Pelodiscus sinensis: one gene and its partners. The protein of the gene in region 3 interacts with the protein of the main gene of each other region in a pairwise test. Links are inferred from orthologs where the notes say so. Each region holds a gene or a part of one and is shown on either strand. Other genes may lie near its edges. The genes, in order: UBL7, AP1S2, AP1G1 and AP1B1.

Region 1 (7,178 bases), on a different chromosome or scaffold from region 3:
GTCCTGGGGCACCTTAGACACTAATAAATCTGTTTATCTCTAAGGTGCTACAGGACTCCTCGTTGTTACGGCAATCTCAGTGTCGCTGCTTTAATTTACCTGGTGCGATGCTGACCACTGAAGGCTCCCAAAGCAGATTAAAGAGAGTAAAAGGAATGATCGGATTTTGGTCCTCAACAGAACCAGTGTAATTGACTGTAACTCTTTTAAGGGTTCTGTCTCCACGCGCAGTGGGGATGCTTTCACAGTTCCCATGTCAGCATGAAGCAGACACAGGGAGCTCCCCTTCCTTTGAAGCTGGAGTTTTCACAGAAGACACCAGATCAATCCGAAGGAATTCTCCTCCTTCCACTACGCCTGGGACCCTACAAGAGGCAAGCAGGAGTATGTGCCCCTGTCTCAACTATAAGGCTGTGTCTAGACTACATGGCTCCATCGATGGAGCCATGTAGATTAGGGTTATAGGCAAAGGCAAATGAAGCCGCGATTTAAATGATCGCGGCTTCATTTAAATTTACATGGCTGCCGCGCTGAGCCGACAAACAGCTGATCAGCTGTTTGTCGGCTCAGCGTGCTAGTCTGGACGCTCCTGTGCCGACATCAAAGCCCTTTGTCGGCAGCCCCGTTATTCCTCGTGGGATGAGGTTTACCGGGGCTGCTGACAAAGGGCTTTGATGTTGGCAGGGGAGTGTCCAGACTAGTACGCTGAGCCAACAAACAGCTGATCAGCTGTTTGTCGGCTCAGCGCGGCAGCCATGTAAATTTAAATGAAGCCGCGATCATTTAAATCGCGGCTTCATTTGCCTTTGCCAAAAAAACAAATCTACATGGCTCTGTCAACGGAGCCATGTAGTTTAGACGTACCCTAAGGGATCAGCACCACACATCTACACAGTGAAGAGTCCACATCCAGGCATCCTCTCTCTCACCTGGTTTCTGATCTGGCTCAGGCCATGACTTGCGCAGGACATGAACAGTGGAGCCTGACTGGATGCCATAAAAATCAAGTGTTTGGTCATCCTTCAGCTTGCGGCCACAGTAGATGAGATCTGAGAAAGAGAAAGCAAAGATCTAGAACACAGGCTGCTCCTATAGAGAGCCCCCTACCTTGGACTGTATGGGATAAGTACTGTTCCAGGTGTGCCATCCCCAGGGTTAGATTAAGGGGCTTTAGGAGCTGCAGCTCAGGCCCTGGGCTAAGGAGGGGCCCCGCAAAACGATCGCCAACCCACCAAAAAGGCAGATTTTTTTCCAGACCCTCCTTAGCCCTAGGCTGCAGCCATTAAAGCCCCTGGGTTCCATCCCTGTCTAGCAAAAGGGGGGGGGGAGCATGTTGCCATCTGCCCCCCCCACCCCGCCAAGCTGGAGCTGCAAGAGCAGGGAAGCTCTGTCCACCCGCTTCTCTCGCCTGCAGACTCCACCCCCACAGCCCCAGTGGCCAGCAATCATGGTCAATGGGACCTGCAATGGGCAGGGCCTGCAAGTGAGCACAGGGCAGTGTTCAGACCCACCTGCCCACTCCTCTCCCTTGGATCTGTGCCAAATGGGAGCTGACCCAGGTAAGTGACCTGTGTCCCAACCCCCTGCTCCAGCCCTGATTCCCCTACTGCACCCATTCCTGCCCAAACACTGCACTCTCACCCCAACCTCCTGCCCTGAGCCCCTCCTGCACTCCAAACCGCTTGGGCCCAGCCTGGAGCCCCCTCCTGCACCCCACTCCAGAGCCTGAACTCCCCTGCTGAAGTCCTTACCCCCCCACAACCAAAGCCCTATCCCTATCCCCTCAACACTCTGAATGCCTCATTTTTGGCCCCACCTTGGAACTTAGAGGGGCCCCACAAAATCTAATAGCCCCAGACCCTCAGAAGACTTAATCCAGCCCTGACCATTGGCCTGCCACATGATGTAGCAACTCTTCAATAGTCAATGGCATAATCATGTGCACATTTCAATGCAAGGGGACCGTGACACTGAGGACACCAGCCTGGCTATGCATCCTCACAGGATCACACGGTTTAAAAGAACTGTCCAACCTCTCAGAGTTCTACTGGTGTCAGGTACAAAGTACATCTCATAGCACAGACAGGTGCTACAATCCTGCCTGTTTGGAAGGATTTGTTACAAGCCAACCTGGAAAATAAAGATGGTTAAAGTGTCTATAATAACTAGAATTATATACAGCAACACTGGAAGCAAAGACACTCTAGCCAGTTGAAACTGTTGTATGAAATTTGGTCATGCTCCCAGGCCTAAGAAGGCCAAGTGCTGCAGACAAGCAGCAACTCACCAATGAGTTCTGGGTCTGGGACTGACTCCTGGAGCTTTCCGGTGATGAGCTGCTTGAGGTAGGAGATGCTGCACCCACCCAAAGGGCACTCTCCCAGCTCGGTCTCCGGTAGCCGCAGGATGGATTTGGGGGCCAGCGGCTGGTCTGCCAGCTTCACTGCAATGTGCCACTCTGATAAAGACATCGTCTCCCTGTCGCGGAGGGGAAACCACCTAGAAGAGGCTGCGAAGGGAAGGAAACAAACCAAGGTGAGACCCTGTCAGCGGGGTGACATCACTGGGAGGGCTGCACCCAGCCGCGCCCTGAATCCCGCTCTGGGGCCTCTGCCCTAGTCCCCAACACGGGGGGTCGTGAACCCAAATCGCCCGGGGGCCCCACCACGGAGCCCAGCTCGGCCCAGGCGGGGCCTTTCCTGCCCCGGCCCATGGGATCCGAGAACGGGGGTCTCTGTCGGACCCCAAGCCCCGCCCCCCAGCGGCGCCAGGAGCGGGGGGCCCGGGGCAGGATCGACACTGATGTTTACACTCACCTGACCGCCGTCTCCGGAAACAGGAAATGCCGGCAGGCTCCGCGCGCTGCATGCTGGGAACTGCAGTTTACAGGCCGAGACCCAACCCGGGCTTACCACATGGCGCACCCACAGCTCCCGGCATGCAGCGCGGCTTCCCCTGCGGGGCACGAGCCTAGCTCGCGCCCGGCAGTTCTGACTGGGAGGGAGGAAAGAGGCGGGGCGGGAACACGGCAGCCAATGGGCGCGCGGGGACGGCGGCGGGTTTCCGGTTCCGTTGGGCATAAAGCGGAGCGCGTGGTGGCTGTGGGAGGAGACGGCGGTTGTAGCTGGTGCCGGTCGTGAGTGAGCAGCCGCAGGTACCGGGCCGGGCTGGCGTTTCTGTGCCCCAAGGGCGGGGCCGGGGCTGGTCGGGTGCCCGGGGGGCGGGGCGCAAGGGAAGGAGAACTACTTCCGCTGCGGCCCGTCCCGCCGCCCGCGGCTTTTGGGCTCGTGACCCCCCCCCCCCCCCCCGGCGCTGGCGGGTGTCCGGGTCCTGGGGGCGGCGGGTGGCGAGCGGGGCCCGGCGCTGGGCCCATGTGCGCGTGCTCGCCCCACTTCCGCTGCGGCCCGGCGGGGGCTCGTCGCTGGGGCCGGCGGCAGCGCGGCTGGAGCCCGCCGCCAGGGAGGGCCCCGCCCTGTTCCGGGCTCCGAGCCGCGCGCTGGTTTCCGATCCTCCATCTTGGTTCCGCCGCCCGCGCGGCCGCTTCCGTCGGGCTGGCGGGGGGAGCGGCCGGGCGCGGCCCTAACCCGCCTCTGTCCCTCGTTGTGTCTCCCGCAGACTGAATCAAGATGGCCGATGAGGAAATTGCCGCCCTCGTTGTCGACAACGGCTCCGGGATGTGCAAGGCCGGCTTTGCTGGGGACGATGCCCCCCGAGCCGTGTTCCCCTCCATCGTGGGGCGCCCCAGGCACCAGGGGGTCATGGTGGGCATGGGGCAGAAGGACAGCTACGTGGGCGACGAGGCCCAGAGCAAGAGAGGCATCCTCACCCTGAAGTATCCCATCGAGCACGGCATCGTCACCAACTGGGACGACATGGAGAAGATCTGGCACCACACCTTCTACAACGAGCTGCGGGTTGCCCCCGAGGAGCACCCCGTCCTGCTCACCGAAGCCCCCCTGAATCCCAAGGCCAACCGGGAGAAGATGACGCAGATCATGTTTGAGACCTTCAACACCCCGGCTATGTACGTGGCCATCCAGGCCGTGCTGTCCCTGTACGCCTCCGGACGAACCACCGGTATCGTCATGGATTCCGGGGACGGGGTCACCCACACGGTGCCGATCTACGAGGGCTACGCCCTGCCTCACGCCATCCTGCGTCTGGACTTGGCCGGCCGGGACCTGACCGACTACCTCATGAAGATCCTGACCGAGAGGGGCTACAGCTTCACCACCACGGCCGAAAGGGAAATTGTGCGCGACATCAAGGAGAAGCTCTGCTACGTCGCCCTGGACTTCGAGCAGGAGATGGCCACGGCCGCTTCCTCTTCCTCCCTGGAGAAGAGCTACGAGCTGCCTGACGGGCAGGTGATCACTATTGGCAACGAGAGGTTCCGGTGCCCCGAGGCCATCTTCCAGCCCTCCTTCCTGGGGATGGAGTCCTGTGGCATTCACGAGACCACTTTCAACTCCATCATGAAGTGTGACGTGGATATCCGAAAGGACCTCTATGCCAACACCGTGCTGTCCGGCGGGACCACCATGTATCCTGGCATCGCTGACCGAATGCAGAAGGAGATCACGGCCCTGGCACCCAGCACTATGAAAATCAAGATCATTGCCCCGCCAGAGCGTAAATACTCCGTCTGGATCGGTGGCTCCATCCTGGCTTCTCTCTCCACCTTCCAGCAGATGTGGATCAGCAAGCAGGAGTACGATGAGTCTGGCCCATCCATTGTCCATCGCAAGTGCTTCTAAAGAGGGTCCCGGCAGGTGCGCTCGGCCTCTGCCGATGGGGTTACTTCGGGTATCCTGGTTGGGGCCAATGTATTTACCAAATGGAGTAGTTCTTTGTAACCTTTGCCCTTAAAAAGCCTTTCATGTTGGACCAATATTGTTTGACTTACTCGCCTCCCCTTACGTTTAACTTGACTCTTCCTTTGATGTACTGTGTAGTAACTATACCCTGTGCATCTTAAGCTCTGTTACAGGTGGGGCACGTGTGACCAAGGTTACCGTGAACAGTATTAGCAGAGAGAGAGAGAGTTACCTGTTAGGCTTTAGTTCTCCTGTGGCTGGCTGTAGTGATCCTCTATTTTCCCCTCTTGAGCTATAAATTCCCTGGGGCTGGAGACTAGGCTAAGGGTTGTTGGCTTTACTCTGTAACTCTGATGTAATGGCATCTCACAAGTAGATTTGTAACTAACCCGACAGCTGATAACTGTAATACGATTGACAGCTCCTTGTTCAAGGCAAACTAATAAATTTCTGTGGTTTAAAATGTGTGGTACTGTTTCTGTGAGCTGAGTCAAAACTGGGAAACTTGCTAATAAGTGGAATTAGGATGGGTTTTTAGGCTGCTCTTTTGTAAACATTTTTTAGCTTTTTGAAAATTTCCTTTTTTTGACTTAAAGGTCCATTCTGCTACTTCAACTAAGATACGAGAACCTGCAATAGACATCCATTCAGATAGCTATATGTCGTTTTCAAGAAAACTGGGATGTCCTAATTAGGGGTGTTAACTCTTGGTTAATTGAGTAGTTGATGGGGGTGGAGGGCACTTCTTGAGCTGGTCTGAATGGTTGGTGGTAAAACTTATTTGCTCTCCTTTTCAGACTAAAAGCACTCCAGATACTTGGGGGGGGGGGGGAGAAAAGGAGCAAAAAGCTCATGTTAATGCAGAATCTCGTAATTCATTTTATATGGTAGCATATATCCTTGGTTTTTCACTCATTGTGTGCCCTGGGTTGAATCATTCCATGAGGAATTTCTCAGCCATATTTCATTGCCTACAAGCAGTCTAGACAGGAATGACTAGCCAACCTAAGCAAATGCCAGCTGGCCTGGGAATAAGGCCACACTTAAAGTGCTGGCCTGGTGGTTCCTGGTTATCAAACTTTGACTCTTTGTATTAAAGTCTACAATGCTTAAACACATTTCTATGTCCCTGTCATTTAGGAACTGATACAGCAAAGTAACTATGGACCTGCCTGAGCACCAGTTGAGACTATCCACCTGGTGTCTTAACCCCTGCAAAAATGGGGATGAGACTGAGGGGAAAATGACTTGCTTGAGCTTGCCCTGTAGAGCCAAGCAGAACCTGGCAGTCTTGACTCAAGCTGCTGGTCTATTTATTGGACCAAAATAAAGCCTTTTCCAAAAGGTCCCTTATTCCTGATTTTAAGAAGAATAAGGGATCTTTCAGAAAAGGCTTTATTTTCCAAAAGATCCCGTCTAGACTGGTGCTTTTCTCCGGCAAAGCCCTGAGCCAGAAAAAAGTGGCAGCCATGTTTATACAAATGAAGCGGGGGATATTTAAATCCCCCACTTCATTTGCAATTCTGACTTGTCTCATCTGCATCCCCTTTTCCAGAAAAGGGGTGCAGTATAGACACAGCCTGGGAGCTTGTGCCTCATTCCTCCCTCATCCTTCCACTTACCCCTCCCTTCCTTATGTCAAAATACACATTTTCATGAACACAAACTCTTTAACAAGTGGGGAGGAGGGAATGAAACTGGGGAAAGGAGGCAGAGCTGGAAGGGGGAAGGGTGGGGGGGCTTTCAGGGTAGGTGGCCATGCCAGACCAACTTGATTGTCATGCAAACCTGCTCCTGGGAATAAGGTCCATGATCTCCACCCTGGACCAGAAAGGTACCTGTCTTCTCGGAGTCCTGGCAGGTCTTGAAAGCTGGCAGACTGCTTGTGAGGAGCGGTGGAGGGCTGGCTGCCAGTGGCTTGCTGGCTCATATTTTGGGACCACTGGGTCGGGGCCAGAGTCTACCTCTTTAAGGGCGGGGGGGGGGGGGGGGAAGAGAAGTGTTCTTGGTTGAGGCCGGAGTGGCCACCAGGGCACCCTGGGAAGGCTGGAAGCCCCCTATTTTGAAATAAGTGTCTACACAGCACTTATTTTGAAATAGCTATTTCGAATTTGGTGTTATTCCTCACAGAATGAGGTTTACCAAATTTGAAATAAGCGCTCTACTATTTCGAATTAATTTTGAAATAGTGGTTTGGCTGTGTAGACGCTAGGAAAATTATTTTGAAATTTTGCTGTGCAGACAGACCCTCGGTGAACAACTCTATTGGGGTGGGGGAGGAGATGAAGGGGAGGCTGCTGTTCTGTTCCCAACTGTAGCAGGAGTGGTTGGTAGGCACTTGATACAGGGAGAGTTCTTAAG
Region 2 (7,907 bases), on a different chromosome or scaffold from region 3:
ACCAAACATGATCCAAACTATCACCAAAAATGGGATAGATGGCAGAACTTGATAGCGGATTAGTTCAGGATCCTCTGTAGCATCATCAAACTTGCATCTCTTGCTAACGAAGATCATAACTCTTGCCAAAGTGTGTCAATTACTATAGAGTGTCTGGTTTTCTTTAGGCTACCTGCTTATGACAAAGTCTACAAAACCTCTCCCAATATGAAGGATTGCTTCCTTTTAAGGCTGCTCTTGGGCCACCAGAGGTTGCTTATTCCATTTGCTTTTCATTAGTATATTTGGAAAATGTACTTCTCCCAATGCCAAATACACTTATACCTATCAGACTAAGGCTACGTCTAGACTGGCATGATTTTCCGCAAATGCTTTTAACGGAAAAGTTTTTCCGTTAAAAGCATTTGCGGAAAAGAGCATCTAGACTGGCATGGATGCTTTTCCGCAAAAGCACTTTTTGCAGAAAAGCGTTAGTGCCAATCTAGAAGCGGTTTTGCGCAAGAAAGCCCTGATCGCCATTTTTGCAATCGGGGCTTTTTTTGCGGAAAATAAATATCTGCTGTCTACACTGGCCCTTTTGCGCAAAAGTTTTTTGGAAAAAGACTTTTGCCCAAACGGGAGCAGCATAGCATTTCCGCAAGAACACTGACAATCTTACATGCGGAAATTCAAGTGGCCAGTATAGACAGCTGGCAAGTTTTTCCACAAAAGCACTTGCTTTTGCAGAAAAACTTGCCAGTCTAGACGCAGCCTAAGTGTTTTTTATCTATCACTACTTAAACACAGTCCTCTTAGTAGTATTCTTTGAGCTGCACAAGAACCATGACTATCCAAAGCTGAAGAAAAACAAGGAAAAATAAACAAAGGAAAAATTAAATTACTTCCCCAACATCAAATAATTTTCCATAAAAAAAAAAAAACTACAAACGCAATTGTTTTAATAAATTCCTCAACTTAATTCCACCTGTTGGTGAGGAGAATGAAACTAGTGATTACAATGGATACTATAGATCTTTGTTAATAGGTTATAAGGACTCAAAGTATGTATGCATACCCCCTCTCTCAAGTACTGCCTAGAAATGTTCCATGATCAATTAGCAAGACATAAAAGGCACACATTCTATATGCATGCTTCAAGTGATACAATATCCTCTTTCATTCTGAGGCACTGATCTTGCTAATATAAGCATACCTTTACTCACATGTTTTAGACTGACAATCAATGTCAGGACTGATATGAATAAAGGTATACACAATTACAAAAAGGCAGGACCGTGGCTTAAGTGTCAAATTCTTTCTTGAATATAGCTATACTATTTGCCACAATACATCAATATTATTTACATAATAATTTCATTTCCATTTTTAAGGTGGAGAAATCTATGCTATCAACAGAAAAGTCAACAACAGTAGAGCAAAACATTTATAGCCCAAGAAAGAATTACAGTAAATACTAAAAACAAACCTCTGATGTTCCCTGATTTTCCTACTTAAATATTAAAACTGAAAGAATGAAACTCCTTTTATAAAATTAGCTTTTGGCAGGATGCATTTATTTCTTTCATCTCAATGAATTATCAATTACTGTAATTTTTGGAGAAAAGCAATTTCACTGCCGTTTTGTATTACATTCAAAAGGTCTGCAGAATCAAAACATTCCACCTTAGTATTTTGCTTGTAAACAGATACAAAGAGAGCTTTCTAAGAAAACTGCATAGTATTTTCACCCATAGAAAACTGATCTTGATTTCTCAAAGTGAAAAAATATTTTTTTACTGATAGCAAAAATCTAATCTTATTCATATATATGAGGCCTTTTAGAACCAATTATGTTGAAACCAATTTAAATCATCCACTGCTGGAGATAAACATATTTACATAGAGTTTAATCATTCTAAATATCCATTAAATCATACATGTTTTCCTATTTGTATGTCTTGTTTTACTTAGTGCTGAACACAGAACCAGAAAGAATCATTCTCTCAAATTTAAGAAAATCTAATCTCTGTTCTTCAGCACATTTCTAAACGCATGAGTGCTCTTTACACATGAATGCTTCCTATTAGATTATCAAATTAGATCTAAGAAAAAGCTCAAAATGAGCCTGTTTTCATAACCAGTAAGGGAGAAAACATACCACTTCTATTATTATTTTTTACATCTAATAATTACAAGCTTAGTGAGGCAGAACCACCTTTTGTAGACAATCTTCAGGTCTCTCCACTCCAGGAAGCTGCACATTTTCGGTTTACGAGCTAGCACTGTCTGAACAAGTTCTCTTGTTATTTTTTTCTTCTCTTTGTCAGACAATGGGACATACCACTTCTGAAGTCTCAGCTTCCCCTGACGACTAAAAAGCAACATAAACTGCATCTGTTGAATTAACAAATAAAAGTGTAATTATTTGATCAGCTGTACTGAATGCAAATAGTTTAAAATTAGTTTCATTGGTTGAAAAATATTTTAATGTAGAAAAAGATAACCACATATTCCCCCAAACACAATTGAAAATGAGATGTATCAAAGACTGACATGCTAAAGCTATCTACAAGATATTTTAAGAGGTGACCACTGTCTTAACTAAAGCATGTTCTATATAGAAAAATGAAGCACTGTTGATAAGATGTCCACAACAGTTTGAACAGTGAAGATGTTCAAGAGTAACATGTAGACAAAGAAACAGTGTTCAGGAATTTCAAAAACAGAGGTTAATGTCACCAGATGCTGAACACATAAGTCTGTGCTTGCAGCTTTAGCCATGTTCAGCACTAGCGCATTCACATATTTTTGCTGATACTCACGGTCATCAACACAGCTGTTCCACTGTAGACAAATGGAAAAAAAATGCACAATCACCTGCCTAACGTCAAAATCTAAATTCACTGTCGACTAGCTTATAGGCATTGAATGAAGAACACTTTTTTCCACACCATTGTTAATTTATTCCAGTGTGTGAAAGCGCTTGCAAGACACTGATTAAGACTCCTAACATCCTAGGAGGAGGCAACCCTTTTCCCCGTATGACCAACAAGGAAAATGGAACAAAATGAAGAGGCCGGCTAAGGACCGCTGTGCCAGGTCGCAACGCCCCCCCCTCCCCACCACCACCACACACACGGTGTGATGGGACTATGATGTTTGAGAAACCACTTATCTGCAGCGCGTTTTCTTGCGATGATGGGACCGAACGTACTTTTGGGGGGTTTTTGGGGGGGTTTCTGTTTTTTGTTGGGGTTTTTTTTTTGTTTGGCCTCTGAGGTCTGTTGAATGGAAGAGCGAGGGGCCGCACCAGCACCCCCCTGTCGGACGGGTCTGCTTCTCCCCAAGTCCTCAACCCGACCCGGAGGCAGGGCAGGCAGGATGCTCGGTCCCAAGCGGCTGCAGAAACGGAGCCGCCCGGGGGCAAAGCACCGCCTCGGCCCCCCCGCCACGAGCCGGGCCCGGAGCACGCCCCGGCCGGGCAGAAGGGCCCGGGGCAGGCAGGTGGCTTCGCTTTACCGCCGCGCACACACCGGGAGGAGAGAACCCTGCGCAGCCCCCCCCCCCCCCGGTCCCGTTAACTCCCCGGGGCCACACGCGCCGAGCGGCTGGGGGGGGGTCTATACCCCGGAGTCCCTGCCCGAGCAGCACCCCCACCCCCAGGGGACACCCCAACGCCTCTTCGCGGCCGGGCCCGCAGCCGCTTACCGTGCCCACAGGAGGAGGCGGCGGCGGCGGCAAGAAGCGCGGGGCGGGCGGAGGGAGCCTCCGGGAGTCTCCGGCTCGAGCTCGTGGCGCGCGCGCAGCTGGGCGAGAAACAAACAACCGCCCCCAGGGCGGGCTCGAGCCGGGAGGGAGGGGCCGGGCGCGGCGAGCAGCCCGGGAGGGAGGGGGCAGGAGCGAGCAGTTTCTTTCCGCAAAACTTTAGTAGCTCGGCGAACAGAGGCGCGCGCGCGCGCGCGAGGGAAAGAAGGGCGGGGGGAGTTGCGCGCACCCGGCTGTGGGAGGGCAGCGGTTGGAGCAGCCAGTCAGCGAGTCGGACGCATAGGCAGGCCGGGAGGTAGCCTAGCAGCTGCCAATGAGCGAGCCGGGCGCTCTGGGCAGGGCGTGAGGGAACGAAAGGAGCCAATCATCGAGACGGGACCACAAAAGGGGTGAAAAAGAGAGTCCAGCAACCAACCAGAAAAATCAAAGACGGAGCCTTTATTTGCGGTATCCAATCACCGACGGAAACGCAGATAGGAAAATGACATCAGTCAATCAGGAAGCTGGAGATAAATTCCGCTACCACAGAGCCGGAAGTGGCTGAGCCAGGGGTATTTATTGCGCATGCGCCACTCATCCCGAAGGGAAACTTATTAGGCAGCTGATAGAGTCTTGCGGGTGTTTCCAGAGCGGGAGCCTGGGGAGGCTGGTGTGAATGGGTGGGGGAAGGAGGAAGCTGAATCCTTTGCCTCAGGGGTTTCTCAGTGGCTGTTCAGGGTGAAGGCAGGGCAACTGGCCATTTCCAAAGGCTGCAGAGGGCTGGCCGAGTTAGTCTGTAACTGGGAAAACTTAAAAAACAAGGATTAGTCTTGCAGCACCGTAGAGAGTAACAAAGCGTGTAGCTGCTAGCATGGGCATTTGTGGGGACACCCCTCTTCTTCAAACCAATTCATATGAAGAAGGGGGCTGTGCCCATGAAAACTCAAGGTACCATCTACACGTTTTGTGAGTCCCTTAGGGCAATGGTCCTCCCACTGGGGCATTTGTGTGTTCCCGCCGAGTGCTCGGGGCTGGCGCCGTGTGGCGCATGTGCAGTGCTGGAGCCGGCCCCAGGCTCATGGCGCATGGGGAGTGCCAGCCCCAGGCGAATGGCGAATTGGCCATCCCGGCCCCCAGGCGTGCAGCTATGGGAAGTGCTGGCCCCAGGAGCGTGGCCAATTGGCTGCCCCAGCTCCCGGACATGCAGCTGTAGGGTGCGCCAGCCCCAGTATTGCGGCAAATTGGCATCCATGCCCCTGTACACGCAGCTATGGGGGGGGGTGCCGGCTTTGGGCACACAGCTATGGGGGGGGTGCTGGCCCTGGGTGCATGGCTCTGCAGAGTGCTGGCCCTAGGCTTGCTGCAAATGGGCGGCCCCACCCGTGGCCACGTGGCACATAGGGTTGCTGGCCCCAGGCACGTGGATCATGGGGAGGTGTGGCATATGCGTGCCCCCGTGTGCACAAGTGTCCCTGCTCTCTGGCGCCTAGCAGGCGAATGGCCTTGCCCCCTGGCACCCAGCAGCTTCAAATAGTTGGGGACCACTGTCTTAGGGTATGTCTAGACTACATGCCTCTATTGCCAGAGCCATGTATATTAGTTTACTAGACATACCCAAATGCCTCGTGGGATGAGGTTTACCAGGGCGGTCGACAAATGCCTTTGATGTCTACCACGGAGCATGCAGACTAGCGCGCTGAGCTGACAAACAGCTGATCAGCTCAGTGTGGCAGTCATTTTAATTTAAATGAAGTGGTGATTATTTAAATCCCTGCTTCATTTGAGTATGTCTAGTAAACTAATCTATATGGCTCTGTCGCCAGAGCCATGTAGTCTAGACAAACCCTTAGTGAAATAAATGGGGTGGCTTAGGGTTTTGTGTGTGTGCTTTTTTTTTTTTAAACAAATGCATAGCTGCAATGAGTCTGCAAAACTGGGACTAGATTGTGTCCATGTGCAAAACTGCTGAATTTAATCATGCATAATTTAAAACCTACTCAACAGACTTTTTGTGTCACCTTTTTGAATGACAGTTGAGCTTCAAAAAGTACAGTAGACTTCCAATAATCTGGCACCTTTTGGACCAACGTGGTGCCGGATTATCAGATTCGCTGAAGAATCGGGAGTTCCGGTACAGCTGCAGGGCTTAACAGCTGGCCAGGACACAATCTCCTTTCCCCTCCCTTCTCCTTTCCCCTTCCCTGAAGCAAAATGCTCTTCTCCATACTGTAACAGGATCCCACTCTCTCTCTCCCCTCTCCTTCCCCCAACCTTATGCTCCCTCTGGTTACAGCCAGCACATGTGCTGAGCGGCAGGCTTTTTAATCAGTTGGCCAGGAGCAGTTGGCATTTTGATGCCAGATTATCAGGAGTGCTGAACAGTTGGATGCCGGACTATCAGAGTTTTACTGTAATTGTAAGGCCTCTGGTCAGAGGTTTGAATTATATCAGACTGCAAAATTTATGATAGTGATTAGTGTATGGAGGGGAAGTGTTTTTTCCATAATCACATAGCTCAAACAACTCAAATTCTTTTCCTCCCCCTCTTCTCCCCTCCCTTTCACACCTTTTTAGTTAAGAACCTACATACAAAATTTCAGTACAGAAGGAATAAGAGAAAGTAAAAATGGGGATGATAGAATGTACTGGCTGACCTTCTAAAGAAACTTCTGTATAAGCAACTCAAAGTGCTTTAACAAACAACTTAAATTTCAACACTACAGTTGTTAGTAATTGTCCTTCCCCCCCCCTCCAATATTAGAGATGAAGAAAGTAAGGCACAGAAAGGGAAATATATTTGCAATTTTTCTCAAGTACTTTTGATTACAACATCTTATGAAATGGCAGGAAACATTTCCAAATAGTGTTTGGAGTAACAACTTCTGCTGCTACAACTGTTTCTTTCCAAAAGCATGTAATTTATTAAACTTACGTAGTTAATAACAGTAGTAAAAAAAAGACTATATAAAAACTGATGCTTTCTAAAGCAATTAAAGCTATTGGCAAGTAAGTGAATGATGTGTAGCAGTTAGAGCAAAAACTGGAATCTAATCCCTAGTTCTAGTAGTGATTTACTGTTGACCAAATTATTCACACCTTTCTGTGCCTTACTTTCTTCATCTCTAATATTGAGATGACAATTGTTAGTCTAGAACCTAACATATGAAAGGAAAGGAATGTGTAAAGCCAAACTCGACAGAAAAGTTGATCACAAGCTTGAAGACTACAAAGAAGAAGACAACATCCACAACGGGTGTTTAACTTTTGGGTGCCTTGAAAACCTTTGAGCAAGACTAGGATCCACAAAGCCTGGGGTAGGCACTTATGTCTACACTGCACATTTATTTCAAAATAAGCTATTCCAGAATAATTTATTTTGAAATAGCACATCTACACTTCAGGGAAGCCTCAAAAGACAAGCTTCACTAATGTAGATGTGCTATCTCAGTTTAGTCCTGGATGCAGGGAGGTCCTTATCTCTGCTAGTGATCCAGACCTGAGAGCCCCTCTCATGGAGTCAGATATTTTAGCTGTGTCTACACTGGCGCGATTTTGTGCCAAACCGGCCACTCTTGCGCAAAAACTTGCTGCCTGGCTACACTGGCCATGTATTCTTGTGTGAGTAAACGAACATTCTACTGTATAAAATCAGGGCTTCTTGTGCAAAAACTGTGATGCTCCAGCTCAGGAATAAGCCCTCTTGTGCAAGGGGCCAGTGTAGACAGGCAACATGGATTTCTTGTGCAAGAAAGCCCTATGGTTAAAATGGCTGTCAGAGCTTTCTTGCGCAAGAGAGCGTCAACACTGGCATGGATGCTCTTGTGCAAAAGCACATGTCAGTGTAGACGATCTCTTTTGGAAGAGTCTTCGGAGAAGAACTCTTCCGCAAAAGAGTTTTTGCGTGAGAATGTGCCAGTGTAGATGTAGCCTTAAAGTGAAATAGCTTCAACAGGAGAGATTGATACTGACAGACCAGATGCCAGCTCATGCCGAGGGCATTAGCCCTCAGAGCAGTGACAAATACATAGCTGATCACCTGTGTGTTAGCATTATTAATATAGATGTGAAGTTTATAAGAGTGTGTTTGTTTGGATTTGGTTAAATGCTTGTAGGATGCTGTGCGTATTACTTACTACATCTGTAGCCTGTAGTATTAAATTATATTGTAAGCCTCTGTAATTGTA
Region 3 (7,671 bases):
AGGAAGAACGCCTTCTTTCGAAAGTGCTCTTTCGAAAGAAGGCGTTCTTGAAAGCAAACAGGCTTTTTAGAAAGAGAGCATCCAGACTCACTGGGTGCTTTCGAAAAAGCAGCTTGCTTTTTCGAAAGTTCCGCGTGCAGTCTAGACGCGCTCTTTCGAAAGAGGCTTGCAGTCTAGACATAGCCTCACACAGCAATCAGAAAGGCCAGGAACTGGGTATTCAGCTCAGAGGGTTTGAACAGACGCTAATCGTAAGCCATGTTTACTAGCAGGCTGTAGCCACTTCCCCTTGCATTGTCAGCTTCCAGCTGTTCGTAGTCTGGGAGTACGGGGAGTTGTCACTCAGACCTTGTCCCCTGCCCCTGGGGAAACAGCGGACACCCTAGCAGCCAGCCTGGTCTCTGCTGAGCAGCGCTCCCCTGGACCGAGTCAGGAGATGGAACAGCTGGCTGCAGAGCCCCGTTATTGCATATTCTGGAATCTTCCCAGAGTTTCCCTGTGAGCCCGGCAGGGAAGATGTGCCTGAGGAACCCAGGGGAGGCTGAGGCTACCAGCTCTCCTTCCCTCTGTAGTGTAACAGCAGAAACACCTTATTGCTCTGGCAACTCTCCCCCTTTCCCCCACCAAGACAGAAGCCCTGCAGACAGCTCAGGCTGGAACCTCGTGCAGGTCATCCCATCCTGCAAACCACAGAATCCCAGCAGGCTCTGCCCTGGGCTCCTCCACACGCACTCCTCTCAGCTTCTCCCACACTTACCACCTCCAGACTTTTCTGAAACCTGCCGGGACGCAGGCCTGCACTGCTCCCTTTCCCTTCCCTGCCTCCAGAGCAAGTGCAGTGTCCTAGCTAGTACTCTCCTGCCTCCTGTTATCCCTGCACCCTAACTCGCCCGCCTCCCTATGAGGCCCTGTGGTACAGATCCTCTCTGCACCCCCCACCCCCGAGCTGATCACATCCAGGCTGTAAGACACGAAACATTCTCACTCCACCACTGGGTCCCCCACACTAAGCCCCCGTTGGGCTGAGGCTGATTGCCCCACACCTGGACGGGGGTCAGAGGTGAGCAGGCAGGGGAGACTGTCCCTCTTGCTGACGGCCATTGCATTGGGTCAGGGTCAGGTGCAGCCTCACCGCCAAATCCGTGTTTGGGGGCGGAGGGGAGGGTTGCAGCATGAGCTCCCACTTCTGTTCAGACCGGTTGTGGTGACAGCACATGCCCATGTAGATAAGGCCTGAGTCCTAGCTTCAGTGAACTCTCTTTTGTGGAGCCTCAAAGACTCCGGCTGGTCAGACATCTGCTGCTCTGACGTCTCTCCTAGGCCACTCCCCAGAGTATCTCAGAAGTGTGATTGTAGCATATGAGTCACTGGTCACTTGGCCATCTTCCTTTTCCCCACCCGGGGAGGAGGTGTGTGTGTATGGGAGCTGGGGCTGAGCCCAATCCTCCCTTAAAGGGCCAGACACATGCTGTCAAAGAGCAGTATCAGTCTCAAAGCAACAGGGATGGGCAATAAAATGGCGGCAGTTTGCCAGGGTCAGTCCATGGCGGGCCACTGCTGCTATATTTTCACCAATTGTCTAGGAATGGCAATCCATGCCCAACCGATATCTGCGGAGGCACAGGTAAATATAGTGGCAGTGGCCTGCCACGGGCTAACCCTGGAGGGCTACGTCTACACTGGCCCCTTTTCCGGAAGGGGCATGTTAATTTCACCTATCGTCGTAGGGAAATCCGCGGGGGATTTAAATATCCCCCGCGGCATTTAAATAAAAATGTCCGCCGCTTTTTTCCGGCTTTTAAAAAAGCCGGAAAAGAGCGTCTACACTGGCCCCGATCCTCCGGAAAAAGCGCCCTTCAAAGTAGGAATAAGAGCCTCTGGAAAAGGGCGCTTTTTCCGGAGGATCGGGGCCAGTGTAGACGCTCTTTTCCGGCTTTTTTAAAAGCCGGAAAAAAGCGGCGGACATTTTTATTTAAATGCCGCGGGGGATATTTAAATCCCCCGCGGATTTCCCTACGACGACTCATGAAATTTACATGCCCCTTCCGGAAAAGGGGCCAGTGTAGACGTAGCCGTGGAGTGTATTTGGCCTGCAGGCCTGTGTTTGCCATCTCTGCACAGCAAGCTGGTGTTGTGAGAGAGCAGGGTTGTGGGTCCAGAAAGGAAGATTGGGAGCAAATAATTTTTTTACATTTATTGTTCTCACCTAGCAGAGCTCTCCAGTGGCTTTCCTATGCCATCACTGCAGCTGTCCTCTGCTTTAGCTCTTTCTCCTCTTTCCCTGCCTCCCTCTCACATCTTTCTTGCCCTCCTCCATCTGCTTTTACAAACTCTACTTTCTCTGTCTCTGCCACAATGCCTGTGAAACCCAGACAACTGCCAGTGGGTAGGCAGGTGAGAAGGCTCTTCTTTCCCTGTCTTTAGTCCAATTATAGAGAGAAAGGACCAAAATGAAAAACCATGCCCAGTATGCATAATTAATCAAACAGAGACATTTGTTTGTGTGTTCTATTTACACCTCCTACTATTCACATTTGTGTTATTAGATTGTAAGCCCTGCAATTAATGCCTTACAGATATCCTTCCAAATACTGTGTGATCAAAAGCTGTATTCAAAATTCCATAACCCCAGTCCCTCCCCTGTATGAACTCTGAGACCCAGACTCTGGCCACCCCATTCCAGTGAAGCGGGGAAAGGTTTGAACCCAAGAATTTCTTATTATGAAACACATAAATAACAGAACAGAAAACACATATTCCACTGGCAGTTTTGCTGATGTTGTGCATGAATTCAGTGTGCTAAAAATAGGCAGCCATGGAAATTCTGAATCCCAGAGGCGCAGAGCAGGGTTCCCTGTAAGCTGTGTGGCCACAAAGCTGCCTAACAAGCCCCACGCAGGGGCTCAGGGCTGTTATGCATGGAGTTGCCACAGCTGAGGGAGAGAAGCCTCTCCCTTAGCCATAGCAGCTCCCTGCTGGGCTGGAGGAGAGGTGCATTCCCCTGACCCCAGGAGCAGAGCCAGATTAAGAAAGATTCTGAGCTAGCCCTTCCTGGTGGGATAGGAGACGCCTCCGTGTGCTGCTGGGAAACTGTCCATTCACTGCCCTCGTTTAGATGCTCCACCTTGTCACTCCCATTGGCCAGGAATTGTGGCCAATTGGATCTGTGGGGGGATGGTGCCTGTAGTTGAATGCGGAGACATCTATTCCCGCCCGAAACGGGAGCTGCTCCAGGTAAGTGTCCTACACCCCAACTCCCAGATCTGAACTCTCTCCTGCGCTCCAAAACTTTTGGCCCCTGTCTGGAGTCTCCTCTTGCACCCCAAATACCTTATCCTCAGCACCAACACAGAGCCTGCACTCCAGCAAGGACCCTCAATCCCCTCCCACACTTTGAACCCTTCAGCTGCAGCCTGCCACCCATGGTCCATATGCAGAATAAATGTTATGTGCACCAATATGGAGGTGATCTGAAGAAGTGGGCTGTGCCTACGAAAGCTCATGATCCCATCGACATGTTTCGTTAGTCTATGAAGTGCTACCAGGTCATTGGTTGTTTTCTGTAACACACTAACTCGGCTACCCCCTGAAGCTTCCTATCGCCATCTTGGTGCACATAACAAAATTCATTCTGCACATGGACATACAAGGTGAGAGGTATGGTCGCCACCACCGGTGACGTTGGCGCTAAAAAGTGTCTCTGCGAAGGGCGGCCAGGTGGTACCTGCCTAAGGCAAAGCCCCACACGGCAGGGCAGTCCCATGAACTCGGGCCAGCTGGACACGCTGCTGGCCGGAGTCATTCATAAGAACGGCCGTACTGGGTCAGACCAAAGGTCCATCTAGCCCAGTATCCTGTCTGCCGACAGTGGTCAGCACCAGGTGCCCCAGAGAGGGTGGACCGAAGACAATGATCAAGTGATTTGTCTCCTGCCATCCCTCTCCAGCCTCTGACAAACAGAGGCCAAGGACACCATTTTATCCCCTGGCTAATAGCCTTTTATGGACCTAACCTCCATGAAATTATCTAGCTTCTCTTTAAACTCTATTATAGTCCTAGCCTTCACAGCCTCCTCTGGCAAGGAGTTCCACAGGTTGACTACACGCTGTGTGAAGAAGAACTTTCTGTTATTAGTTTTAAACCTGCTACCCATTAATTTCATTTGGTGTCCTCTAGTCCTTATGTTATGGGAACTAATAAATAAATTTTCTTTATCAGCCCTCTCCACACCACTCATGATTTTATAGACCTCTATCATATCCCCCCTCAGTCTCCTCTTTTCTAAACTGAAAAGTCCCAGTCGCTTTAACCTCTCTTCATATGGGACCCGTTCCAAACCCCTAATCATTTTAGTTGCCCTTTTCTGAACCCTTTCCAAGGCCAAAATATCTTTTTTGAGGTGAGGAGACCACATCTGTACACTGTATTCAAGATGTGGGCGTACCATAGTTTTATACAGGGGCAGTAAGATATTCTGGGTCTTATTTTCTATCCCTTTCCTAATAATTCCTAGCATCCTATTTGCCTTTTTGACCGCCGCTGCACACTGCGTGGACGTTTTCATTCCAGGGCCGGAACCTTCCTTCGCGGCGCCGGGCGGGCCCGGGCGCATCTCGCGGCAACACTCCGAGCGGGCACGAGAAGGTGTCTGACGTCATCATTGCCTGCCACGGCGCCGACTCAGCGCTCCTCGAACAGGAGTTTCACAGCTGCTTCCGCCTGGAAAAGTAGTTCCCAACGGCCGCTGTCCCGGTGCCCGCGAGCGGCCCGCTGCCCGGGAGAGCGATCGGCTGGGACCGCAGTGCCGGCGGGGCGCCCTCCCTCACGAGGTGGGGCCGGGAACGGCGAGGAGCCAGTCCCCGTCCTGCGGATCCCTACGCCTGCGGTATCGGTGCTGAGGCCGCGGAGCCGCCATTTTGGATGCCTGGCTCCTGCTACCGCCGCTTCCTCCGCTGCAGGGACCCGGCCCGGTGAGTGGGGGCGGGGGCGGGAAGGTCCAAGCGGCCCCGCAGCGCCCACGGCGGGACCCAGGCCCCGGCCCCCAGCGGCCCCGCTCGGCTCCCCCCCCCCCCGGGCTGGGCCCGTATCCCGCCCCCCCCCCGGGCTGGGCCCGTATCCCGCCCCGCTCGGCTCCCCCCCCCCCGGGCTGGGCCCGTATCCCGCCCCGCTCGGCTCCCCCCCCCCCGGGCTGGGCCCGTATCCCGCCCCGCTCGGCTCCCCCCCCCCCGGGCTGGGCCCGTATCCCGCCCCGCTCGGCTCCCCCCCCCCCGGGCTGGGCCCGTATCCCGCCCCGCTCGGCTCCCCCCCCCCCGGGCTGGGCCCGTATCCCGCCCCGCTCGGCTCCCCCCCCCGGGCTGGGCCCGTATCCCGCCCCGCTCGGCTCCCCCCCCCCCCCGGGCTGGGCCCGTATCCCGCCCCCCCCCCCCGGGCCCGTATCCCGCCCCGCTCGGCTCCCCCCCCCCGGGCTGGGCCCGTATCCCGCCCCGCTCGGCTCCCCCCCCCCCGGGCTGGGCCCGTATCCCGCCCCGCTCGGCTCCCCCCCCCCGGGCTGGGCCCGTATCCCGCCCCGCTCGGCTCCCCCCCCCGGGCTGGGCCCGTATCCCGCCCCCCCCCCCGGGCCCGTATCCCGCCCCGCTCGGCTCCCCCCCCCGGGCTGGGCCCGTATCCCGCCCCCCCCCCCGGGCCCGTATCCCGCCCCGCTCGGCTCCCCCCCCCGGGCTGGGCCCGTATCCCGCCCCGCTCGGCTGCACGCCCCCCCCCCCCCCCCCCCGGGCGCAGGGCCCCGGCCCGCTGGGGCCCTGGGCGCCGCCTCCGCCCCCCAGCGCCCCGCCGACAGCACCCGCCTCGCCCCTCTCAGCGCCTCTGGGTCCGCGCTGCGCCCCCTCAACTTCCCTGCAGGCAGCCGCACCGCCCCTCTCCCCGCACTGCCCGCACCCCGTCCCGCTGCTCTGCCCCTTCTCTTGATCTCCTGGAGTGGAGCCTGCTGCTCTGGCCCTGCTCTTCGCTGGCAGGTCGTTCGCCCCTGCGGCCCCGGGGTGGCAGCTCTCCTGTGCTAGCCCTTGGGGAAGAGCGCGTGTGTGTTCCTTTGGGGTGATGCTTGTGCACAGAGGGTAACACTGCACTCCTCCTCCTGTTTCCGAAGGTGAACGGAGTACTCTGCAGCTGTACTGCTCGAGGAGTTTTGTTTGTGCATAGCCCCATAATTATATCTATCTAGCTCTTGGCAGAGCAGACTGCCACAGTCCTGCCTAGACCAATTTACAGCAAGCTGCAGGTGCAGACTTTTGCTGCTGCTTCTTTAAGGGTTTGTTTAATTCTTTTTCAAATTATATGGCATTAGTTGTTGCTCGGGTGCTGATTCTTGGGTGTGGATTAATGCTTAAGTCTTTCCCAATATCAGACTTTGTCACTTTATACATTTTGATTTTTAAATGCTGTGGTGTTGTTTATTGCTGCACTTGATGTGTGACATGCTTGATGAAATGCTGTAGAAGCACTATGTCCTTTAAAGTGCTATATTGTCCTGCATTTTGCTTCAACTACCCCAGACTAACACGGCTACATTTCTATCACTATGTCCTTAGGAGAGATGGTGTATTGAGCAGAGCTTGACAAATGGGCTTGAAAAATATACTTGACACCTGCTTGCTTATTAGTCAGTGTGAAAAGTAATTCCGCTACCTTGGTTCCCTCCAGACCAAGCAATGCTGTAGTGCATTTTCACTGTAGTGAATTTTAAGTCAGTCTTCTATTTAGCATACTTTTACATAATAACTTTGTCTCCTGTTTGTATATTAACTTTTTTCCTTTTCTGGCTTCACTCCATTTTTCTCCCCTCTTTTCATTACTATATTATAGTGTATATTTTCTGGTTTTAATTGTCTGTTTTCTCTTTTCTTTCTCTTTTCCCCTCCCGCTACATCCCTTTCTCTCTTCATTTACACTGAACGCGCTACTGTTTGCACTTCAATTTTTTTCGCACTCAGTTGCCAGATTTTCTCTCATTTTCCTCACCCAAACTCTCTGCTGATCCATTCCCTCATCTACGGATCATGAAAACTTTATCAGACACCAAAGAGCTGGCAAGAGAGCTCAAATAAGATTGGAGACCCTGCTCTTGTCACCCCACAACACACTCCCTTTTCTCTCTCTCCCATATGCTGGGAGGGGAGGAGGTATTTAAATTACTAGAAAGACATGATTCCTGAATGTTTAGGAACTCCAAGTTCCCACTAGTAGGCTTATGATGAATTTGAGACTTCACCCAATAATCCTTTTCTTTTTCACATTCCTCTGCTTCCAACACAGTCCCCTGTCTGTTCCAAGGATAGGGTTTCTGCTAATCTAGCCCTTGCCTAGCTGCCTCCATGTTTTGGTGTCATAACTTCCCATGCTGTTGCTCTTTAGACTTGCCAAACAACAGAGGGACTATATATGATTCTTGTCAGCTTCATTGTTGCTCAGAGGGTTCTGAATAGCAGCAAAGGAAAACTGCTGAGACTGGTCACTTGTTACATCCTAGCTAGGCAAAGCTGTGAGCAGAACAGGAGGATTGGAGCTGTCAGTCTGCAGACTTATAAAGGAGTGCGTAAATGGTTCAGATTTGGAAAATTATCTTTGAAACCATGAGTACGAGAAACTTTTTAAAATGAATATTTTAAAGTCTGTGAA
Region 4 (7,843 bases), on a different chromosome or scaffold from region 3:
ACACATTAGTTATACAAGTAAATAGAAATCAAGTCTTTGGTTAACCCCAAAGGGAAGTATTCCTCTGTCCGTGGTATGAAACCCTTTAAAGAACCAAACACTGGTTACCAAAACTCCCCTCGCTTCCCCTCCCTCTGGGGGGCTGGGTTTCCAACAGCTACTGGCTGCATATGGAGAGGAAAGGTTGCAGGGAAGGAGGAGAGCAAAGCGCCAGTAAGAGCACAGGCCCTCCCCCGGTACACACAACCACATACACACTGCAGCGAACTGCAACCACAGGCAGGGACCTCCAGCCCAGCAGCCAGTGTCAGGTGCCCCAGAGGGAGTGAACAGAACAGGGAATCCTCACGTGATCCCTCCTGTGGCCCCTTCCCAGCCTCTGACAACCAGAGAGAAATAGGCACGTTAGCCCTGTCCATCCTGGCTAACAGGCATTGATGGGCCTGACCTCCATGAATCTAGCTAGCTCTTTTTTGAACCCTGATAAAGTCCTGGCCCTCACGTCCTCTGGCGAGGAGTTCCACATGTTGACTGGGCACTGTGTGAAGAAAACCTTCCTTTGGTTTGTTTGAAACCTGCTGCCTATCCATTTCATTGGGTGACCCCTCATTCTTATATGATGGGAACAAGTCCAGAACCTTTCCTTATTCACTTTCTCCACACCAGTCATGAGTTTATAGACCCCCCCATCATAGTCCATGTAGTCTCCTCTTTTCCAAGCTAAAAAGTCCCCGTCTTGTTTCTCTCTCTTCATATGAGACCTGTTCCAAACCCCTCATCATTCTGTTGCCCTTGTCTGAACCTTTTCCAATGCCAAGAGATCTTTTGGAGATGAGGCGACCACATCTGCACGCCGTATTCAAGCTGTGGGAGGCCTATGGGTTTACATAGAGGCAATAAGGTATTTTCTGTCTTATTCTCAATCCCTAGTGAGTCCTGTAACTACACCAGCACCTTCTGAAACTGACCTTGGGGCGGGCAATGCCTGTGAAATGGCTTCACCACCACAAGGAATGGCAATGGTTGTCCAGGGGCCCGGCCAGGCCGCTCCCTCTGGGGCCCCTGGCATTGGCCACTGTGGGCAGACAGGACCCTGGGCTTGATGGACCTTTGGTCTGACCCCGTCTGGCTGCTCTGATGTTAAATAAATTGGGACTCAAGGGGGTCCCAGCTCTTCCACCGCTGCATTTTCCAGGCTAAGCGTCCAACAGTGCGGCATAGAGGCGCCTGACCCTGCGGCACGTGGGGCTGCCTGAAGGAGTGCTGCCCGGTCTATCCACCAGATCGTACCCTTCTGGCCAGGGGGAGGACAAGGACTCTTACCCTCACAAAGGGCTTTCCAGCAGCATCCCTAGGGGTGCAGTTTTCCAAACGGCAGTGAAGTCAGCGACGGCAGGGCAGCAGCCCCTTCCTTTGCACATCCCTGCCCCGGTCCCAGAGGGGGCCCTGCAGAAGAACAAAGAAAAGGGTCACGTGAAAGAGTGTTGGGATTGAAAGTTTAAGCATAACAAGAGCTTGGCTCCTTTTGGCCCCTGCAATGCCTAGAAGCCAGCTCTGCTCTTCGCCGGCCTTGGGGCGAAGGGAGGGGGAAGGGGAGAGAATCTTGATATACCCAAAAGGGAGGCAGCACCTTTGGCTGCATGGATGCAAAGAACTACCTAGTTCTTATGAAAAACAGACATGAGGGGTCTGAGCAGGAGGCAGGGGAGGAGGGGCTGGAGAAAGGGCTGAGCATGGGGCACTTCAAGGGGGCTGAGGAGGGCAGGGGGAAGGGGCAGAGGGGTTCCCTGCTGACCCCGAAGGACTGGCCCTGGACTCCGACAGTGGAACCCGCATGAGTGGGGTGGCCGAAGGTGCAGCCCTAAGCCCCAAGGCCAACCCCGAGGGTCCGTGCCCCTGGGTCTGATGATATGGCCAGAGGATCCAAAAAGGCCATTGGGCAGGCAGCTGTCACTGTGGGGGCCGAGTCTGTGATGGAGACAGACTGGCCTTCCTTGAGTGGCACTGCGAGCAGGATCAGTGCTGGGACCGGTGCGGAGACCTTGACCAGCGTCACTTTGAGGAGCCGTCTGAAGATGCCCTAGATGTCATCAACTCCATGTGCGACTGAGGAGCACTCGGATGTGGACCACGGCAGTGCTGCAGAAGCTGCCTGCTCCCAGTGCTGGCAGTGGTGTGGCATGGCCGCCGGTTTCCCTCAGTGCGCCGGTGCCGAAGGGGGCAGTCACACGCTCCGGTGCTGAAAGCATCGGTGCCGGGAGGGCTGCACTCTGTACCAGCCCCGGTTCCTCTGTGCCATCACTACAGACGGTGCCGGACCAGACTTCCACACCGGTAGAGGAGGAAGTGGCACCATCCTGTCCCTGTCGCTCCTGGCCCCTCCGCACCACACAGCGTCGGGCCCAGGGAAGATGTAAGTTCAATCTATTCCCGGGCCGCCAGAAACAAATCCGGGGTTGACGGCTGTGGGACCCCTCAGGGCTACTCGCCTGCGCGGGACTCGACCTGTACCGATGGTGCGCGGGAGCGGCAATGGAGCCTCGGGGCGTCCCCCTCGCAGACGCAGCCCCGACCCGTCTCGAAGGTGATCTCCCTCTTCGTGCCTTCTTTGAGCGCTCGGTGCTGGGGACCGTGTGTCGCCCCAACGCACAGAGTGCCTCGACATGGACCCATGCCCCATGCCGGCCCGGGCGCTCCTCAGACGCTGGCTGCGGTGCCGCGGGTTAAAGCGCTGAAGTAACCTGAGTCTGGCGTCGCTCTCGTTTAGTCCTTGGTTGGAAGGTCTTGCAGACCCTGCGGGAGTCCGTTCGATGACCTGCGCCGAGGCGCTTCAAGCTCTCCTCGGGGGTCTCCGCAGGCATCGGGTCAGGCACCGCACGGCGTGAAGCCCTGGGCCCGGGGGGGGGGAAGGGAACTGCCTAGGGACTGCGCAAATCCACACAGGAGCCTCCCCGACACGCCTGTGGGACAGTACGGACACCGGTCAGAAGGGCTCGGTGGGCTCCTGGGGCGAGAGGAGCAAGGGGGGACAAGGGGGGGCGGGCTGGGGGGGCGCTGACCTGCCGGCGCCGCTCGGGGGGGGCTGGGGGGGGCGCTGACCTGCCGGCGCCGCTCGGGGGGGGGGCGGGGGGGGCGCTGACCTGCCGGCGCCGCTCGGAGGGAGGGCCGGGGGGGGGGGGGCGCTGACCTGCCGGCGCCGCTCGGGGGGGGCGCTGACCTGCCGGCGCCGCTCGGGGGGGCCGGGGGGGCGCTGACCTGCCGGCGCCGCTCGGGGGGGGGCGGGGGGGGGGGGCGCTGACCTGCCGGCGCCGCTCGGGGGGGGCGGGGGGGGCGCGCTGACCTGCCGGCGCCGCTCGGGGGGGGGCGCTGACCTGCCGGCGCCGCTCGGGGAGAGGGCCGGGGGGGGGGGCGCTGACCTGCCGGCGCCGCTCGGGGGGGGGGGGGGCGCTGACCTGCCGGCGCCGCTCGGGGGGGGCCGGGGGGGGCGCTGACCTGCCGGCGCCGCTCGGGGGGGCCGGGGGGGGCGCTGACCTGCCGGCGCCGCTCGGGGGGGGGCCGGGGGGGGGGGCGCGCTGACCTGCCGGCGCCGCTCGGGGGGGGGGCCGGGGGGGGCGCTGACCTGCCGGCGCCGCTCGGGGGGGGCCCTGGGGGGGGCGCTGACCTGCCGGCGCCGCTCGGGGGGGGCGCCGGGGGGGGCGCTGACCTGCCGGCGCCGCTCGGGGGGGGCCCTGGGGGGGGCGCTGACCTGCCGGCGCCGCTCGGGGGGGGGCCCTGGGGGGGGCGCTGACCTGCCGGCGCCGCTCGGGGGGGGCGCTGACCTGCCGGCGCCGCTCGGGGGGGGGCCCTGGGGGGGGCGCTGACCTGCCGGCGCCGCTCGGGGGGGGCCCGGGGGGGGGGCGCTGACCTGCCGGCGCCGCTCGGGGGGGGCCCTGGGGGGGGGGCGCTGACCTGCCGGCACCGCTCGGGGGGGCCCTGGGGGGGGGCGCTGACCTGCCGGCGCCGCTCGGGGGGGGGCCCTGGGGGGGGCGTTGACCTGCCGGCGCCGCTCGGGGGGGGCCGGGGGGGGCGCTGACCTGCCGGCGCCGCTCGGGGGGGGCCCTGGGGGGGGCGCTGACCTGCCGGCGCCGCTCGGGGGGGGCGCTGACCTGCCGGCGCCGCTCGGGGGGGGCCCTGGGGGGGGCGCTGACCTGCCGGCGCCGCTCGGGGGGGGCCGGGGGGGGGGGCGCTGACCTGCCGGCGCCGTTCGGGGGGGGCCCTGGGGGGGGCGCTGACCTGCCGGCGCCGCTCGGGGGGGGCCCGGGGGGGGGGCGCTGACCTGCCGGCGCCGCTCGGGGGGGGCCCTGGGGGGGGCGCTGACCTGCCGGCGCCGCTCGGGGGGGGCCCTGGGGGGGGCGCTGACCTGCCGGCGCCGTTCGGGGGGGGGGGGCGCTGACCTGCCGGCGCCGCTCGGGGGGGGGGGGGCGCTGACCTGCCGGCGCCGCTCGGGGGGGGGGGGTCCGGGGGGGGGGCGCTTCTCCCGCAAGCAAGGGCCCGGGCGGGGGGGGGCAGCCGGATCCCGCGCGGGGCCCTGCACGTGACGAGCAGCCGCGGCCGGGCCCGCGCGCCCAACGGCCGGGGCAGAGAACGCGCCGCCCCCAGCCACGCGCAGCGCAGCGCCCCGCCCCCTCTCGGCTGGGAGAGAGGCCCGACCGTTCAGCCCCCGCCCCTCCTCACTTGCCCGCCCGCGCGCGCTCCTGCCCCACGTGACGCCCCGCCCCTCCTCACCTGCCCGCCCGCGCGCGCTCCTGCCCCACGTGACGCCCCGCCCCTCCTCACCTGCCTGCCCGCGCGCTCCTACCCCACGTGACACCCCGCCCCTGCCCCGGAAGTGCTCCCCGCCCGGGCGCTCACTTCCGCGGGGCCGCTGGAGGCGCAGGCAGCGCAGGGAGCCGCGAGCGGTAGGTGGGGGGGCCCCGATCCCGGCCGCACGCGCCGAGCCGAGCCGTCCTCGGGCCAGTGCTGCCCCCGGGGGCTCGCCCGAGCGGCTGCGGCTCCTTCGCTTTCCCGCTCCCGGCGCCGCGCTGCGGGGGCTGCGGGGCCGGTGGGTCGGGGCTGCCTGGGCGACAGGCGGCGACTCCCCGTCCGGGCAGGGCCGCATCGATCCGCCTCCTGCGGTCACATCTGCGGGCGAGCCGTGCGCTCCTGCGCGGCCTCTCCGGCTTTGCTGCAGCGCAGGCTGCCCCGCCTCCCCCTGCAGGTGTCTCCCGGCGGCGGGGCCGGAGGCTACTGCTGCGACTAGGGATGTAAAATCCCATGGGTTAAACACTATCCAGTGCCCCTGCCCAAGCTTGCTGAGGAGGGGGGCTGCCCCACCTCCTGGCCACGGCCCCACCGGGCTTGAGCAATTCCCTGCTTGCTCCTGCCCCTGCCTGTTATCCATAGCCGGTAAGTATCCCCCAGTGAGGGCGATGCTTACTGGTTAACTGGTTATATCCCCAGCTGTGAGCCCTGCTCTCTGCAGGGTTTGGGGGCTTCTTTCCCCATTCCCACTTGTGCTTTTCTGAGGACTCAGGCCACCCCCTTCTCAACAGCTTCCCAGAGCTGAGGGCAGAGCAGCTGGTGGATTTGGGGAGCTTGATCGTTACGGGAAGGACTGTGTCAGTGGAAAAACTGGTGTCTGGGCACGCGAGACTCCATGCTCATGTTGGAGAGGGCTAGACTTGTCCCGTGTAGAAATCCGTTGACCTCAGCTGGGCTTCTTGGGGTATAAATGTGGCTTATAGGCTGCTTTCTCACAGCTGCTGTGGTGGGCTCTGCATGCCACTGGAACATGGCACTCGCTACCTGCCTTACTCCAGCAGCAGAGGCATGGGCTGCAAAGTTGCCAGTCGGCAAAGCGCTGGTTTGGGAGAGGAAGTGCCCTGTGTGTATGTTCTGTGGCAGCTAACGCTACTGAAGAGTTGGTGATGGCAGAAAACTGGCACACTCCGGCTCAGCTAGTGGAACTGCCTGCTAGAGGTGTATGTTCTAGGGATGTTAAATTGCAGTTACTCAACTACAGTAGTTGATGGAATTTCCATGAACTACTCGATTAGTTGATGAAGGGGGAAACTGCAGAGCTGCAGTGGGACCCCTCTACAGCTCTGCCTTTTAGATGTATATTAAGTGCCGGATGCATTTAAAAGGCAGAGCTGCAGCAAGGGGAACCAGGCGAGAGCCGGGACAGCTGATTCCTGGTCCCCATGCTACGCCTCTGCCTCCCCTGCCCCCCAGGCAGCAAGGGTGGTGGAAGCGACTAGTTGAGTCTCTGCATGCTTATCAGGTAGTCGACTAGTTGCTTACATCCCTAGTACGTTCTGCTGTGGCTGGGCTCCTCCCCTGCTCACCTTCTAGGATTCCGACAGCTCGTCGGATGCGGGTCAGATGTAACTTGATTTCGCTGCCACCCAGAGGCGTGCATAGCAGCACGGTCTAGGGCAGCTGTTCCTTGATCTGAGGGCTGGCTGGGCTTGCCTCCTCTGGCTGATGGGTTCAGTGGTGCTTTAGAGACCACTGCGCTGTGGTGCCTGCCCTTTACCTTGTCTCTGAATGCCTGGAGGTCGGTGAGGCCTAGGAGACCCTACTGTTTGTATTGGAGTCCCGGTGTGCTAGATGCTGCCCACACACAGTAAGTACTACAGTCCCTTCCCCAGAAAGCTTATGGTCTATGCAGATAAATCGAAGGATTGCAAGGGAAACTGAGGCACCGAGCTTTACTGTGACTTGCTGCAGGTCAGGGGCAGAGTCAGCATTCCACTGTGAGTGTTCCACTTGTTCTCACTAGTGTGCTAGAAGCGGCTTTCCAAGCGGTCTAATCGCCATGTTTGTGACTTCAGACCATCTTGCTTGTCCTCAGATGCTCACTTCTCTCTGCCTCTCCTCTCTCTCTGGAAAGTCAGCACTGTCGTCATTAAAAGCTCAACATCGTCCACCGTAAGCTCTGTTAACCCTCTGCCCCAAACAGCCAGGCTGTTATTCAGCAGAGTTCCTAGAGTGAAACCTGAGCTTGTGGTTTGTGGCTCCCACCTGACTTGTGGTTTCTGGTTTGTGAGCAACACAAACCTCTGCAGCCTAGAGTCACAGAGCACCGAGTTCCCTGCTGCTGTCAGGGCCACCACGGCGCAGGCTCAGCAGGAGCTCTCGCAGCTTGGGATGGCAGTCGATTGTTAAAGAAACTGTAACCGGGCACTGGAGTTGGGGCAGGGCTTCTCATTTGCCTCTGGGGTAGAAGGAGCCCTGGAATCTCAGGGTCACTGGCTTCTTTCCATCATTCAACTTGACTCCCAGAATTCCTGGCTTCACATTCTAGCCTGCTCAAGTAGCCGGGACCAAGTCTCGGGTCACAGCCATGTTGTCAGGGTTGAGGCTTGGCTGCTTACAGCCTTGTCCAGGTGTTCTGGAGAGGAGAACAGAGTTCCACTAAAATGAGTTGCTTTAAAGTTTGGTATCCGTCTGTTTCCTTATAATGCGCACGTGTGGCCCCCTTCTGTGACGTAGTGGGGGTACTTGCTGGGCTGTGGTGACCCCTGCTGTCTGGAGCAAGACCCAGCAGGGAAAACCTCACTATGCAAAGGTGATGCCAAACTGGTTGAACCAGATACCCCCCATGGAGAGGAACAAAGGAAGGTGAAGGCTGCCCTGGCTGGGGGGGCAGGGCTGGAGGAGAGTGAGTTTAGTTGGTGTCTGGGAGCATGGAGGAGACAGCCTAGGGAAAGGGACTGGAGTTTAGGGGTCCAGTCTCCCCCATCTCAAGGGGGCCTGAGGCATCCTAGCCCAGCTCTGTGACCAGATTCCATCTGTGCTGTGCTGTATCCTGGAGAGGCAA

What was found.
Region 1: the proteins of AP1G1 (region 3) and UBL7 interact in binary tests that used the Homo sapiens proteins (3 or more experiments, as listed by UniProt). The two-hybrid records come from large-scale screens. The link is inferred for Pelodiscus sinensis from reciprocal best matches to the Homo sapiens genes AP1G1 and UBL7.
Region 2: the proteins of AP1G1 (region 3) and AP1S2 interact in binary tests that used the Homo sapiens proteins (3 or more experiments, as listed by UniProt). The link is inferred for Pelodiscus sinensis from reciprocal best matches to the Homo sapiens genes AP1G1 and AP1S2.
Region 4: the proteins of AP1G1 (region 3) and AP1B1 interact in a two-hybrid assay, tested with the Homo sapiens proteins (2 studies listed by BioGRID, with this or other methods). The link is inferred for Pelodiscus sinensis from reciprocal best matches to the Homo sapiens genes AP1G1 and AP1B1.

What each region holds. Positions count from the first base shown.
Region 1 is NC_134724.1:35,548,865-35,556,042, reverse strand, and holds the start of UBL7 (ubiquitin-like protein 7), read right to left. Parts: upstream 3,003-7,178; 5' UTR 2,869-3,002; coding exon 2,817-2,868; intron 2,510-2,816; coding exon 2,288-2,509; intron 1,050-2,287; coding exon 930-1,049; intron 1-929. Other genes in the region: actin, cytoplasmic type 5, read left to right, coding at 3,627-4,757.
Region 2 is NC_134711.1:211,493,040-211,500,946, reverse strand, and holds the start of AP1S2 (AP-1 complex subunit sigma-2), read right to left. Parts: upstream 3,016-7,907; 5' UTR 2,808-3,015; coding exon 2,802-2,807; intron 2,374-2,801; coding exon 2,195-2,373; intron 1-2,194. UniProt on the Homo sapiens protein: Subunit of clathrin-associated adaptor protein complex 1 that plays a role in protein sorting in the late-Golgi/trans-Golgi network (TGN) and/or endosomes.
Region 3 is NW_027466015.1:561,253-568,923, reverse strand, and holds the start of AP1G1 (AP-1 complex subunit gamma-1), read left to right. Parts: upstream 1-4,659; 5' UTR 4,660-4,970; intron 4,971-7,671. UniProt on the Homo sapiens protein: Subunit of clathrin-associated adaptor protein complex 1 that plays a role in protein sorting in the late-Golgi/trans-Golgi network (TGN) and/or endosomes.
Region 4 is NC_134725.1:5,452,329-5,460,171, forward strand, and holds the start of AP1B1 (AP-1 complex subunit beta-1), read left to right. Parts: upstream 1-4,841; 5' UTR 4,842-4,937; intron 4,938-7,843. UniProt on the Homo sapiens protein: Subunit of clathrin-associated adaptor protein complex 1 that plays a role in protein sorting in the late-Golgi/trans-Golgi network (TGN) and/or endosomes.